2 linked regions of the Xenopus tropicalis genome follow. The protein of the gene in region 2 purifies or fractionates together with the protein of the main gene of each other region. This does not show direct contact. Links are inferred from orthologs where the notes say so. Each region holds a gene or a part of one and is shown on either strand. Other genes may lie near its edges.

Region 1 (8,196 bases), on a different chromosome or scaffold from region 2:
ACCTACTGGTAAATAAAACATTAGAAAGGTTATTATATGATCCCCTTATATATTTATACATAGTTCATCATATAACCTCTTAAGTGCCTCTTCTCCAATGTAAACAGACCCAACTTGGCCAGTCTTTCTTCATAAATAAGACTTTCCATACCCTTTACCAGCTTAGTTGCCCTTCTCTGGACCCTCTCTAATTCAATAATGTCCCGTTTAAGCACTGGAGACCAAAACTGGACAGTATAGTCTAGATGGGGCCTTACCAGCGCTCTGTAAAGGGGAAGAATAACCCCCTCCTCCCGTGAATCTATACCCCTTTAAATACCTCAGCTCAATACCCTGTTTGCCCTTGCAGCTGCTGCCTGGCATTGCTTGCTACAGCCAAGTTTATTATCTACAAGGACTCCAAGGTCCTTCTCCATTATGGATTTGCCTAGTGCAGTCCCATTAAGGGTATACGGGGCTTGCATATTTTTACATCCCAGGTGCATGACCTTACATTTATCCACATTAAATCTCATCTGCCACTTAGCTGCCCAGATTGCCAGTTTGTCAAGATCCTGCTGCAAGGATGGCAGAACTTTACTCCAAATAAAGAATTTTCCATTAACAACCACCCTCTGTACCCGATCCTGTAGCCAGTTTTCTATCCATGTGCAAACGACTTCACTAAGACCAACAGACCTTAATTTTACCAGAAAAGGTCTCTTGTTTCTTTAAAGGAGAAGGAAAGTCTAAGTCACTTGGGGGTGCTAAAATGTTAGGCACCCCCAAGTGACTTAAATCGCTTACCTTTTACCCCGGGCTGGTGCCCCTGTACGGAGAGAACAGCACCAGCCCGAGGTAGCAGCAATCGCTTCCTTCTTCCTGATCGCGTGTGTGCGCACATGCGCAGTAGAGTGAAAAGCGGAACTTTAACAGAGAAGTCTGCTTTTCACTCTACTGCACCTGTCCGGGACAATCAGCAGCAGTGCGATCAGGAAGGAGGAAGCGCATCGCTCCAGGTACTCCGGGCTGGTTCTGTTTTCTCCTAACAGGGGCACCAGCCCAGGGTACAAGGTAAGCGATTTAAGTCACTTGGGGGTGCCTAACATTTTGGCACCCCCAAGTGACTTAGACTTTCCTTGTCCTTTAAAGATGCTAAGATATCTTCATGGGTATAACAATAGAAACAGTATCCCCAGAGCACTGGAGTGGCTGAATGCAGAAGAACAGAAGGAATGGGAGGCGCCTAGTTTTAATATATTTGTGCAAAACAGTTCCTTGTCTCCACAATTTCAAAGAGGGTAAAATTCAATCTTTTTCATCTGTATAGTCAGCATCTCTAAATAATCTGTGCCTATAATTAGGGCTTTGCAAGGAAGAGATGGCATTATTCAGTGCTAGTTGCAGTACTTTTGTTCCTTATCTATTTTATTTAGTATAAAAACTGTAAGGAAGGGAATCACAAGCACGTCCAGAAGAAAGATTATGTTCTAGGCTATTTGCAAGATAGATGTGTGCTACTGCAGTTTCCAGATTTGTGTAAACAGTCTGCCTGGTTCCATAGCAAGCCGCAGTTTCGCAAACAGAGATCATTTAGAAGAACATGGGGTGAAATGAGTAAAGTTACTCAGCTTGGCAGTAAACAAATTTTGCTATGTAGGTGGCTGACCAAATCAAAACATGTATTGACTCCCAATGGGCTAATATTATTAATAATCAACAAAGCCCACTTGTCAAAGCAAAATTATCCTTTGACATATATGTCTTACCTGAGTCTCCCAGGAAAAATGAAATATATATACATATGTGTGTGTGCTCATAGTGGGTGTTGATTTTAAATAAATATAACTGTGTCTAGGACCAAAGTTAGAGAAGAAGGTAGGGAGGAGTTACACAGATCTCTAATGAACAACCTGCTTCCTCCAGTTGTTGCAATACAAAATGCAGCATCCTTGACAGACAGCCTATAAAATAAGTAATATTGTAACTGTTTTGTAGTGTAGAGAATCACAGCATGATGGTGGAACAGTAGCCTGATGTAAACATGCTGACTCATGCATATGGTATGTCTTCCATCACGCAGTCTGACATACACATGCTGATTGTAGCATATGATATATCTTACCGATATATCATAATTAGCTAGTTATACACTTGCTGACCCTAGCCTATGGGATGTGTTTTGTAAAGAGGCTGGATATGTTTAAATTCTTTTTTCTTGCTACTCTTGCTACTGGCAGGGACCCACCCAGCTACTATGTCCTGGACCTGTATCCATGTTACCTGAGTGGGTTAAGTGTTCCCCATTGGCCTAGGGATATACATGAGTGCTTCCTATTAGTTTGATAAAGCAATTGAAAAAAAAGTGGCTCTCCCACCTACCGAGCAGGGTGGATGAGTCTGGAGAGCCCTAGTAGGAGTGGGCCCTAAGGGAGGTAAGCCCTTAGTGAAGACGGAGATGCTCTACACTATTTGTGTGAAAATTTGTTCTGGGTTGGGAAATACAAGTAACACTGCCATTTAAACTTATTCCCAAGTACCATGAATACAATTATATTGATATTTTAGCTTTTGTGCGCAGTCATATTTAGAAATTAATTATTGTTGTCAGAAAGTCCTGCAAAGATAGCGGAACTATGGCTGGTTGCAAACCACCTTGGCTGGGAGAAACCACCTTCTTCAGGTGGCCATAAATGTAAAGATAAGCTTATTTGGCAACGCAGACAAACAAGTGGATCTTTTACTGTTATGCCTACCTTGAGGTGCATTCCTTGGCTAATTTGATTGTTACATCTACCTGAACAATATGTGGCTGACTTGTGTGGGGCCAAACGTAGGGCCCCACACAGGGGCCAATAAGCTGTTGACTTGGTCATTCTGCAATGCTCTGCTATGAGGCTATATATGTAATGTGAATTGCTGGTGGCACCTCTGCTCTACAGTAACCATAAACAACAAGTATTGTATTCAATATAGCAATAACCAGATTGGTTTGTCATGAGAAGTATTGCAACAACATGGAACTTACCTATCAGCCACATAATAAGAAGGAAATCGATTCTCTCTAACGCTGGCCCCATGGTGTTCTTCTTATCCTCATTGTAAACCAAAGAATATAGGTTAAGAAGCAGCAGGAAAGTGAAGTAAGAAGCTCCATGTATAATAAATTTCATAAACGGGGTATGAATTATACGTCCAACTTGGGATTTGGGAGCTAGCAAGTAGCACACGGAGAGGACTGGCCAAAAAATTCCAACGGTAAGGACAATCAATATCTTTTTGCAGGTGTGTTTCCGTCTGTACCCTGCCATTTGGCCAAACCAGACAGTATTCAGAAATTGCTGGCAGTTGGACTGGGATACAAACTGGAAAGTAAGAAGAAAGAAAAGAGAAACTAGTATTTGTAAAATAAGACTGCAGTTAAAGCGATGCAAACTTATGTAAAATGTAAATGTAAGCAAAGGGGTGGGTGCCATTTTGTTTCACACTTCTCTGTAATATTCGATTGAGGTAAAGTGTTGTACAGCACCTAATTTGTTAGTCATCTTTCTAGAAGTTGAGCTTTCTAGAATAGTGTCTTCCCAGACTCCTACCTCCTTTTGATTGTACTTGATAGCGAGTTTCAATCGGCTCAAGTTCATGCGCTCCTCAAGCAGCCCTCTCTTGTCTACAGGCTCATCACTCGATTGGTGGTTTAGGATGACTTCCAGCTCTCGAGAATTCCGGGCCTGGGCCAACAAGTCTTTAGCAAATGTCTTACACTTTTGAGCAAGTTCTTCATAATCGTTTCTGAAGTCAACATGTTGTGATAAAAAACAAAAAGGTCAGATGAAAGGAACCTACTATTTGGTGTTTCAGTTTGACTGCATGACAGAAAAGTGCTGCTCCTTTTAGAAATCACCATGAAATATTTTAGAAAATAATTATTTATATAGGTCAAATATTTGTGTGATGGTTATTCTCACCGAAATTCCACTTCTACAAGGCTAAGCTCTTTTAAATCTGCACTGAGTTCAAAGGCCCGCAGAATTGGATCCTCCTCAGTCAGCATAATTAGAGCTGGACTGGCCAGGCATCGATAGATATCAAGTCGAAACCTGTAATAAAATACAAGCATTGTTACCGGTACTACTGTGAAATATCTGACCTCCTAGAATGAATAAAGCTGCGGACCCTTTGTGAAATGCTTTTTTGTAGGTGCAATAAATCCTAGATTCTGCAAAGAATCTGGTGCACAACACAAACACAACTTAGGTAAATATATAATCTTGACCGTCTCTTGTAGATGCAGCTGCCAGGATACTTCAAATTATGGCTCAAGAGCAGCTGGAAATGGACTGCCTAAAACAGTAAAAACATTGCCTTAGGGCAATGGCACTCAGGTAATTCAGGGCATTGTGTCGACTCACCTGGGGATTTTCTAGTTAATCAGAAGGTGACATAATCCTTGGAATTACTACATAGTAATTTCAGGGGCAATTGCCTTGACCCAATGGTCAGCTGATTGCCCTGTAGGTTCAGATGATTGCCATTGAAATAAATGAGGAGGCAATTTTGGGTCTTTGGCCTCTTAGCTGTTATTGCTCAGGCAAACTTTAATCATTTTCCCAAGACCCTGGGCACATTTGCCATTGACCTTGAATGTAAAGCCCTTGTCAAATGTATATATTTATGGACAGGTTTTATATCTGAAGCTCAATTAAGATTATGTGATGCTGTAAGTGTGAATACACAGAGCCATTAACAGTGGGAACCTGAAATAAAATCATGCAACATAAATACATATTTTTTTAATAAAATACACCACAGATAGCAGTTCTTATGCACAGTGTGGTCCTTCCTAATTCTAAATGACATTACTTTTTATTCTATATCGGGCAGCTCTGTACACTGCCCATTCAGACACACTTTGGGTTATAGAATAACAGGGGTCAGACTTTCCTGGTCTTGTATGCTATAGCAACCAATCAGCAGTTAGTAATTACTGGTCTGGTGTAAGGCAAACATGCTGACTATTTACTAGATCTGCTCAAAAGTTTTATTCATACACAAATCCCTCTGAATACCTACTCAAGGGTCAAAATTGATGAAAAAATGCAGTCCTAAAAGTGTTACAAATAGTACAACGTATTCACAATAGGTATTTGTTGTTGTAATGCCCCCAATGTTTTAAATATTTGTTGTTATTGTGCAGGAAAATGTTGTTATTCTGGGAAATAAAATGCTCCCCAAATTCTTCTCTATGTTGACTTGACCTGCAGCACTTATATGCACAAATCATTGTACTTACTTTAACAAAGTGCAACAATATTAAGTATTTTATGTACTAAATCATTCTTGTACTGTGTGTGAATACAAACATTTTTCCATGCTCCATAAAAATAAAGTGTACAGAAGACAAAAGCTTCCTGGGGGGTGTAGCATCTGGGCCACAGCTGAGCTTAGAAAGCTTGCATGGCTCCCACACTACGTGCCCCCCTGGTTGCCTGTTGGGCATTGCTTGTGTATACAGTCAGCAGTAAAGTATTTGACACATGAGTATCAAAGCCTTCCAGCTGCTGCAAATTCAGCCACCAATCCTAAACTGGATATTTATTTATAATTCTTTCTAAATCTTGATCAAAACAGATATTTTGCATTGTCAGCTGAGTTTGATAATCCTAACCTGGAGTGTCTCAAACTGTCCTTCTTGTTCTTGGCTGTACAAAGGGTGCACTCACAGCCCACAGCATGAGGCTTTGGGAGAGAGACATCCTGTTTCAGAAGCATGGTAAGAATCTCGTAGTTATTCCGGTGAGCAGCCAGGATTACAGGAGCCACATCCATGGTGGTGGAATATTCTGGATTTTGAATTCGCTCCATAAGTTTCTGCAATATAGGGCAAATGTGTCAATCAGACCAGAATCTATATAATGGGTGAGTTTTCCCTGCAAAGCTTGAACTTGCTTCCCATTATGATGCCTACTGTTTTTTTTATAGCTACAATACAACAGAGACTGACCTGACTTTGATATATTGATTATTGCACTGTCCCACTGGATATGTTCCCCTTAGCAGACTTAGAATGTGCTGTGGCTTATGGCAAAGGGAATCAGGCACTGATCGTTTTAATTGTGAGACTCAATTTGTTGTCACATTTTAGTACTGTTTACCTTTTTTTAATTTTATGAAAACCTACCAGCACCTGGCTAAAAAAGGCAATCTAATTGGTTGCTATGTGTTACTGTCCATGGGCAAATTTGCCCAGTGTTGATAAATGAGCCCCAGTCTGTCTTTTATTACATAACCCCCAAAGAGTAGTGTTCTGTACACCCACATCTACATTGCTCATACTATTTTTATATGGCAATAATTACAACATTTACAAAAGAAATCAGAAAATATTCCTAGTCTTATATGAACCATTATTAAATCTAGTCCATCTTATTTTGCTGAAGTGTCCAGAAAGTAAAATGCAAACCTGCATGGCATATGACTTACTACAATAGTTGGTCTTGTTCTCCATTTTGGTTGATGATTTAACAAGATATCCACAGCTCCCACCACCTCAGAGTCAATTGCCACAAGGAGGGCATCAGTAGACTGATAAAACACAATAAACACTCTATAAATAAGATATAAAATCTAAATTTTAGGCAAGATAGTTGATGAAAAAAGAGAATGTGTAAAAAAATATGCAGATGTTTGTTGTAATTATATATATACACCATCTGGATACTTTTGGCTATGTTGTATACTGTATGTACCTCTGTCTAATTTTACTGTACTCACTTACAAGTAATAAATACATTAAAGTTATTATTTGAATAATCATGAGGACAGCCAAGCTTAGTATGGGCTCTGCATATCTATGGCTTTAACGAGAACATTTTTATATTATTTTTTTCAAAACAGTTTAGAGTTCTCGGTGTATCAATTTGGACAGCAGCAGAATATCTAGATATGCTTAGTTTCCTGCTGTTGCACGGCCAGTTGGAAAGAGTAGGAGGTACAGATGTTACTTATTTACCTGGCAACCATAATTGAGGAGAAGCTGCAGGATATCCAAGTTCTCATTTTCAATGGAAATAGTGATGGCATTTCTCCCTAGTACATCCACTGAATTGATGTTCAGTTCTTCTGAGCTGTTTTCTTCCAAAAGCTTTTTCACCATATAGTAATCACCTGCAGTACAGAGTTAGCCATTAGCGCCTTATTGGTTAATAATTCTTAATAAGACTAATGCAGCCTCAGAACGTTAGTATGGACAAGAACCTGGCCGATTATGTCCTGGTTTGTATACACAATGAAATTGACCTTGTACTCAGCTCAAGCTGCGGTCTGGGTAGAATCATATAATATGTAATGAGTATGCACAGAGGTCCACCACTTCTTTTAAGGAGACTAAATATGGATTCTAAAGACAATACACGCTGATGGCTTTTCTTTCAGAATAAAACTAATTTATTACATTAGTGTGGAGATGCTCTGTAACCAATGATGTATCCAAGCATACATTCAGCCAGGTACAGGGAGCTACTTGCCATTGAAAGCAGAATGGGAAATACCACAAATAACTACAGTTTTCTTTCTTTTTTGTACTTAATACAGGGGGATATCTATGACTGACTTTCATTCATGAGTGCTACTGCAGTGGCAAGTTCTATATTGGGTGCAAGTCATTGTATCTCTTACCTCAATGCAGCATTTTTTTCCCACAGTTCCAGTGTAACTGAACCCACAAGGTGGAGGTGCAATTACGGCAATGTGTTAAAATAAATGCAACTGCGAATTGCTGTGAATCTTTGGTATGTCTTTGTTTCCAGTGCTCGCTGTCAAAATTACATCTGTGCCCAATTGTTTAGGTGCAAGTAAGATGCGTCAGTTGACACAGACTGCTGTGAGGACTGTGCCAACTACAAAAAAATATATCTCCTTGGCTGCTTAACCATGCCCTATGCTGACAGGAGGGCTTTGGGAGGAGGTAAGGAGGATTACAACAGGGCTCATTGATGAACAGGAGCCAAGGTGTCATGCTATGGGCCTACAATGCACCTTGCCCTTGTGCAGCACTACCTGAGCGCAACTCTTTGTGCCTCCACTAGAAAAGTGGTGTAACAAATACATGTTACTTAGAAGGCAGGTACGGAGTACCTGTGTGCTGATTCAGAGCCCTAAAATATTGCCTGCTAATGATGGGCATTAAATAAAGGGCCCCTTTGCACCCAGCTCTGGATG
Region 2 (8,196 bases):
ATAGACAAGAAAGCACAAAAGATGTAGAAAGAGGTTACTGGGGGATGAAGGAAGCATAAAGGCATCTATTTTGAAGGAGGATATTGCATGGCAGTGTTAAGAGCCTAAACAGGAATTAAGGATCTGGTTATTAGGGGCATGTCAGGAGATGGTTTTAGCAATGCTATGTAGACATGGAGATGGCTTAATGGATTTCTGAAAAGAGCAGGAGTCAAAATGTTAGGCATCCCTCAGTGAATTAAATCGCTACTGAACCTTTAAAATTAACTATATGAATTGATTTTTAAACTAAAGTTCCATTTAATGTGCTTTTTATGATCTGCCATTTAAACTATAATCTAGGTTACTAGGTCCAATCAGTGTTTTTTAACGTCACTATGAAAGATCAATAGACAAAGGCCTAAATAGTAAAAGACAGAATTTAAAATTAAAAAAAAAAATAATTGCAAAGTGCAAAGATCAAGCACCGTCAGTATATGTCTGTGGAGGGCCTACATTGCCCACTGCAGAATTATCACATCTGCTGACTGTACATAATTATGACTTTGTTTCTTATCATTTTATGCACTTCTTTTGCTTCTTCTGAATCAATTTTATTAACCTGAATAAATTATAGGAAAAATGTGTTTTGGAAGAAAACAAGGGAGAAGTAGGACACACTGTATATAAAAGACAAAAATTGTATTGTTCAGTGCTTGGCTTGTGGCAGAGGAAAACGGGAGGTTCCCAGTTGGCAACCAGATAAATGATGTGACAGAGAAGTATAACCTGAGGATGTCCAACTTTTGTAAAATATTTCTTGGCATCGCTAATCCTGTTTTGTAGACAAAATGGTTTCATCCCAAAGGTGTGTAAAGCTGGCTATACATAACCAGATCTGGTCAGGGAGTTTGGACGATTTTGACCACACTACCTAAACATCTAAATATGTCAGGTGGGGGGGGGATCTGAACTGGCCAGTTTGCAATCCTGTTGGTTGAAGATGGTCTCTCCAGTTTGACAGTATTTCATCTGCTCATGCCTATACCAAACCATTTTATTCATCATATTATGTTATTTAGATATGGGCCCTACAGCCCTAATTGTAATAGCACATCAGACGTTACAGAAAAAGTGTCCACCACATCTGACTTAACCCTGCCCTCTTCAAACCTGAACCTGCCCCAATCCGGCCAGCTGTAATTTTTTATATACACGTGCCTGCCCCTCTCTGATATAACTGAAGTCAGCAGGGAGGGGGGAGAGCATATATAAGAGCAACAGCAGGTGGGCAAAAGAGATAATGATGTCATGGGGGGAGGGGGGCGTGGGAATAGTTTGGCCCTCCATTCACCTGCCACAAGCAAAAAAAGTGATTGGCCTGCCCAAACTCACATCACTAGTCCATGGCTACCATCCATCAGAAAGAAGCAGGGGTATAGAATGCCTTGTCTGCTTGTCACCATTCTTAATGGTACTTAAAGGAAAGGGTCCTGACTGCATGCCTGTTATTGACTAAAATTAGGAGTGAGGTCTACAGTGGACTAGTGATGTGTGGGTCAGGAAATATTCAACCCAAAATGTTAGGTCGCTAATATAAAATAGATCACTAAGTGCTCCTGCTAGGAACCTGCGGAAAAAACTGGAGCGATGCATCAACATTTTACTCCACTTTCTACTGCGGCCCCAGGCATCCCCAGTGTTAATTCCTGTTCATGCAAGCGCAATAGTGCATACCCGAGATTTTACTCTACTGCGTATGTGCAGAATGCCAAGTGCCAAGGAAGGAGATGACAGTGTGGCACTCAATTTTTTCCACAGGTTCTTTCCTAAAAGGAGCACCAGCCTAGGGAAAAAAACTTAGCAATCTATTTCACTGGGGGGATGTAATGTCCAATATGTGAATAATGGCAAACATTGTGATTCTGAGCATTTTGTTTCCCACTATGCTCAAGCCCTATTTAAAGTGAATGGGAAGAGCATTTTAAGGATTTAGCATCTTCCCATAGTGCTACAGAGTGCAGGAAGGCAGTGTGCCATTAACCTTATGGGATCTGAATATCATTTGCAATGGAATAATACATAGTACAGGTATCGGACCTCTTATACGGAAACCCATTATCCAGAAAGTTCAGAATTACGGAAAGGCCATCTCCCATAAACTCCATTTTAAACAAAGAGTTCACATTTTTGAGAATGATTTCCTTTTTCTCTGTAATAATAAAACAGAACCTTGTACTTGTTTCCAAACTAAGATATAATTAATCTATATTGGAGCCAAAACAATCCTATTGGGTTTATTTAATGTTTAAATCATTTTTTTTTTAACAGACTTAAGGTAGGAGATCCGAATTACAGAAAGACCCCTTATCTGGAAAACCCCAGGTCCCAAGCATTCTGGATAACGGGTCCCATACCTGTACCATAACCATATACACTAGAGCTTTTGAAACAAACATATTTTCTTCAGTGCAGTGCAACAGTACATTACATTTAAATGTACTTAAAACCCTTGTTTTTGTATTTACTGGTCTGGCTGTGAGGGGATTTGGGGGTTATGGTTTGATTACAGCTGGAGGATTACAGAGCTACATTTACTGGTTCGCAACAGCGCTGAGCCCTTTGGTAGTCCAGTCGAATTGCAGCCGCTTTGTACAAAGGGCAGTGAGGGCTGCAGGAATGGAGGGCGCCCTCGGGTGTGGTGCGAAAGGAAACTTTCGGGGTGTGGCAGGGGGGTTGCCTGCCTGGGAGGGGTCCGAGGGGGATCGGAATCCCCTAGGAATGAGGAATATTCCCGATCCGATGACCCCTGCTGGAGAGAGTCCGTGCTGCGGTACAGAGGGGTGTGGTGTGGTGCATGGAGCCAGTTATAAGCCAAGCCTTAGTAGCACCGTGTGAGAGGAGTAAGCGCAGCTCTGTGCCACAGCTCTCACCCCCTATTCCCATCTATGGTGGCACTGCGCTAACGCTTGTCTTTTCTCTTCTTCGCTCTCGGCCGTCCCGCTCCCCCAGGGTGTGCTCTACACCACGCCGGTTATCAGAGAGCACGGCAACATCTACAAGCCCAATAACAAGACCATGGCAGGTGAGACCCTGATGGATACAGCTGCCCGGGACGTGCACACTAAGGAGATCGATCTGGTCAACAGGGACCCCAAGCACCTGAATGACGATGTGGTGAAGGTAAGACTGGAGTTATGTGCCATGTACTGACACTAGGTTAATGTGAGAAAGTTATATTGTTACATTGACTTGTGCCAGGGAGACGTCCCTTATCTCGGGGACTATAGACTTGTTCTGCACTTTAGGCCAGTGGTTTCCAAACTTTGGGGCTGGTCATGCTAGTGGGGCGTATTTGCTCTACTATATACTTTACTCAATAAAATAAATGTAAAGGTCATTTAGGGTGAGATTTGAAGTAAACTTATATTTGGTCTTTTGGATATTCTTGTAACTATGTTTTTATAGCAGATATAGCAATGTTAATATATAGCTTCCTTCAACGTTGTTATTATCTGGAGGGGGGTAACTGTGACCCCCGTAGAGTGAACCTGAAATGATCAAGTCCCAAAACCAGTGTATAGTGAGAGTATAGCATCCCAGTATTCACAATTCATATCATCCCATTCCAAATCATAGGAGCACAAGGAGATTTAGCACACTCTGTCGGTATAACATACACAGTGCTGATAAAGCACAGGCACATCATGCAGTTAGGGCTGAAGGGTTAAAGGGAAAGGTCCCCCTGTATGACAGGCAGCAGGCCATGTAAGTTGTGACATTTTTACACTTGGCTCATTTGTTTTCCCCTCTGAGCTTGGGAACAAAATGTTTGGAAAGTTGTCAGAGAGATGTTTGTGGTTTTTGGAAAGTGAGTTGGGAAGGCTTTAAGTGAATCCACCCTTTTTCTGTCATAGTCTTATTGGATATAATAGAGGATTTTGAGGCCCCTCCCTTAAATGACCAGGTGCTAAGGAAAAATGTTCCCTTAAATCTGGGCTGCACATACTGTACTCCAGAAATCCAATAAACCGCCATCCCTAGTATGATTCATTATATTTGCCCTCCAAGTTGTTTAATATTCTCTGGGACCAAGAACTCACAGACCTATGTCCTCATGTAACTAGCTCTCTTCTCATAATGCCAACATATCACTGCCAGGTATATAGGCCATATAGAATTGTGACCATGGGGAAGAATTTTAATGTCTTCTATAAAGATACATACATAGCAGTATCCCAACACCACCATTCCTACTCAATATCTGGTACCCACAGTTGTGAGTCTTGTGCTGTCCCACAAACATTTTGGTAAATTGTACAGTATGACTTGCACACATACAGTGTGGGCTACTACAATACAGTTGTACTTGCATGGTTGGCAACAGATACGTACGATGGGATTGGGGTAGAGTGCAATTTTGTGATTGATCTGTCGTTCTGTTCCACCATGGTTGACAACTGTATCATATTTCATTTAAAACCATTGCTAGTGTAAAGCTAGCTCTTTGAGGTTCACTCTGCTGTATAAGGAGCCCTGGTGTATGCTTCAGTTAACCTATTTTTTATATTAGGGGTAACTGGAGAATATACCACAGCTGCATGTCTTTTACAGCCCAAAGATGGGTGGGGTTTCCAAAACTTCATAGTTCAGCAGCAGACATGATCTAAGGTGCTAGTGAGAATTGCAGCAAATAAATGGCCTAGTGCATGTAAATTATTCATGTACCTTTATACATTGATGCTTACATGTCAATACAAATATACTAACAATTATAACAAATTATTAGTGCTAGGCATGGTGCAAAGTGCAAAAAATGGCACAAACTCTATGTTTCTTGGATGTTTGCACCCTGGGTGGGTGGTATTTGTGGCAGATCTGCAAACGGCTTGATGTAATTAAATATAGGGAAATATGGTTCAGGACCTAAAATAAACAGCTCAGTGTCATACTAACATGATGTAATTGCAACAGGATATGACTGAATTTAACAGCACCACAATCTACTAAAAATATGGACTAACTGGGCCAAGTCAAAAATTTAGAAAGTGGGGTTTTTGGCGCACCCTAAAATTACAGGGCCCATTATTTATGCCCTCGCCATATACTAATATCTACAGTTAGTATTAGTGGTTGTATATATAGTTTATGTATGGGAGTGTATAGATTGGTAGGTGTGGGTTGTGTGTGCTGGGTTTACTTGGATGGGTTGAACTTGATGGACTCTGGTCTTTTTTCAACCCTATGTAACTATGTAACTATTTGCTGCATTTTATACTGCATTTGCATTGCAGTTTATTGTGTACCACAAAGCTGCAACATGTGTTAATTGATCTCATTTTTCTTTATGTGTCCGTGACTGAGATCAAAGTTGAATACAGACAAAAAGGGACACATTCTACTTTTTTCAGTAGAGAGAGTGTAACAACCAGAAAGGAAGAATGAGTGCATTTAACTCATGCATTTCTAATGATTTATAACAGGCCTCACTGTAATGATAAAGAGATAATTATCCATATACATATCAGCATTCTAATTATTTAAATTATTTTGTGCAGTATCTATGTAAGCTCATAAAAAAGACTTAGGGGATGATTTACCAACTCCAAAAGAGTCAGTGGTAGCTTTAAACTAAACAGTTGTTTTAGTGTAGAAATTATACAAATTGATTTGACTCAAAATATTTCATGATTTCACACATAAAGTGTCAAATCATTTAAACTTTCCTGACTGTCAGGATATGGGTTTCTGCACCTTGGCAAACTTTGAGCCTTCATTACAAATGTGAGCATGAGTTTAAACCACATTCAACAGCTTTGCTAAACTTTCCAGTGGCTAGAAGCTCATGGTGCATACCCAATGGAAAAGGCCAGCAAACTTTATCCTGTGAGATCAAGGAATTTGCTTTGGGATATCCAAAGAAGTTAGTAAAATGAATAATGCAAACCACCTGCCGAGACAGTTGAGTGGAAAACATTGCACTGACACAACATACGCAGAATATGGTGTGACTTCCAAGCACAATTTGCAGCTGCATGGAAAGTATGAAGACGCTCCCACTCTGTCAGTGTGCTGAATCTGGTCACAAGTATATGGAAACTAAATGCACATAAATCAGCTATGAAAGATACAATAAACTTGGCATTGAACCTGCTCTGTAAGCATCACATTCCATGCTGCTAGGAGGGAAACACCTTCCAGGTTTATTTTTCATGCAATGATGTGAACTTGTCACCTTGGAAAATGTTATCTCTGGATTTTTACAAAAATGCTGTTTTGTTGTCTCAGAGGAAATCCGGCAATAACCCAGTGGTAAGCATAACCCTCCCTACAGAATTTACACTGCCCTTCAGTGGAAAACAGCAGTGACCAAATGCCCCATCCTCCTGTCTTAGCTTCTAATTTTATTGATTAAATTGCCCTGTCTTGTGCATGAGGAGAGGTGAGAGATGGACCATGGCACCAAAACGCTCTATTGATCACCACTGTTCCCTCCCTAAAATGTTCATGTTCCATTACCATAATTTTATCTGCTACAATTCTGCTATGCACACAGGACCGCTGTCAAGGTGTGTCTGAACCACAGACCCCATGACAGCTGAATCCTGTCCCAAAATGCATCAGTAGGCTTATGTTCCCTTGTTAGACTGCATCACACAAGCCTAATCTTAGTACAAAAAAATTGCATTAAGTTTACATCAGGGTATACTACATTCTGAGTTATTATGAAATTAGACAGTAATATTAAAGTCAGTTAGGCATTAGCTTTGCTTACTTTGTTGCAGGTTAGATCATGAAATCAAATATCCGGGCCAAGCATTTTTACATTATGTGGGTGTCCTTCACTATACGTTTGTAGCTGTCTGACACTCACTTTTTCATAAGGCCATGCAATTCTTGCAGGGAAATTACTCTAGTTATGTTATCTTTATTATTAGAATCCCTTCCCACACACTGCTTTGCTCTCTCCTCTTTCTTGGTGAAAGGATTTAGTTGCCTTATTCAGTATATGCACAATGGATTACTGTTTGACAATCATCTGTTTAAAACAGTAACTTCACTCAGTACACAGGTGGCAATGTATTACTTTAAAAACTTGACATGGTAAAATGTTTCTTTGGTTTCACGGGCAAATTGCAACTGGAAAATAAAATTTTTGTTACATTCTTTCCCAGTGTCACACAAGTGTGTCACTGAGTGGAAATAACTGCTATGTAAGTAATTATGCCTCTGCCTAGAACAATGGGCCATGAAAGCAGTTATGTCAACTTCCCACTCTACAGCTGTAATGTGAAATTCCACATCATGCCTTTGACATGGCAGAGAATGACTGTTGCAGCATAAAAGCTTACCTACAGGAAAGAAGCAAATGATGTACTTTAAGGTTAATGTCACACATGCCATTTTTTCTGCCACTGCAGAAAACCACTTGCAAAAAATCACCTTACGACTTCTGGCGCCTACTGCCCTTAGCTACAATGGCATCTGCCTGTACACACAGGGCAGATGTTGGCTGAAAAATGCACACCAGCATTTCTGTTGTCCTGCGTGCATAATTATGGATGATATTGTAATCAGTGGCTCTGAGGAGCAGCAGTCATGGGCTTTAGTAACATTTCATTAGCCTTAGAGACATCAGGTCATTGGTGCTGCTGTGAATTCAATCTCTCATTTGCAGGGAATTGCTGTTGCAGGGACCTGGTGTAAAGGGTAGAATTGTATTTACCTCTAAACTGTTTCTTTCTTCACATAGATGTCCCCTTTTAATGTGCTGGTGCTCGCTCTGGGCATTCTATAAGCCAGGAATTCATAACATATGAGTCAGAGCAACCAAAATAGACCCTGTGTTGTTTAGGGCGGGTCTCCATAATCCCCTATATATCAGAAAAACCTGCAATAAGCAATTTAAAATGAGACAACATAATGAATTCTAAACCAGTCTTTTCTATGGAGCTGATTCCCAGATTTTATCAAGCAATCAGATTTTATAAGAAGTTAAGAAACACTGCCATAGGCCGTTGTGTTTGGCCCTGAAAAATTACTGCTGCTCCAAAAGCCAAAGCATTTTAGTGTGTTTTCTAATACTGTCATTTGTTTGTGGAGAGCAGGCAAGACAAGAATTTTAATCAAACCAAATTGGAAAATATGAATTGCAAGGGGTTTTGCTAACAAAACTATATTCAAGGCATCACATACAATGTAAAAGAATGCACTGGT

The links. The genes of interacting proteins can lie anywhere in the genome.
Region 1: the proteins of cav1 (region 2) and trpc1 purify together in Homo sapiens (affinity purification with western blotting; 3 studies listed by BioGRID and IntAct, with this or other methods). This does not show direct contact. The link is inferred for Xenopus tropicalis from reciprocal best matches to the Homo sapiens genes CAV1 and TRPC1.

What each region holds. Positions count from the first base shown.
Region 1 is NC_030681.2:119,713,188-119,721,383, reverse strand, and holds part of trpc1 (short transient receptor potential channel 1), read right to left. Parts: intron 7,144-8,196; coding exon 6,989-7,143; intron 6,562-6,988; coding exon 6,460-6,561; intron 5,848-6,459; coding exon 5,645-5,847; intron 4,077-5,644; coding exon 3,945-4,076; intron 3,769-3,944; coding exon 3,573-3,768; intron 3,345-3,572; coding exon 3,008-3,344; intron 1-3,007. UniProt on the Homo sapiens protein: Forms a receptor-activated non-selective calcium permeant cation channel. Forms a heteromeric ion channel with TRPC4 or TRPC5 that has reduced calcium permeability compared to the homomeric TRPC4 or TRPC5 channel.
Region 2 is NC_030679.2:68,067,012-68,075,207, forward strand, and holds part of cav1 (caveolin-1), read left to right. Parts: intron 1-2,991; coding exon 2,992-3,162; intron 3,163-8,196. UniProt on the Homo sapiens protein: May act as a scaffolding protein within caveolar membranes. Forms a stable heterooligomeric complex with CAV2 that targets to lipid rafts and drives caveolae formation. Mediates the recruitment of CAVIN proteins (CAVIN1/2/3/4) to the caveolae.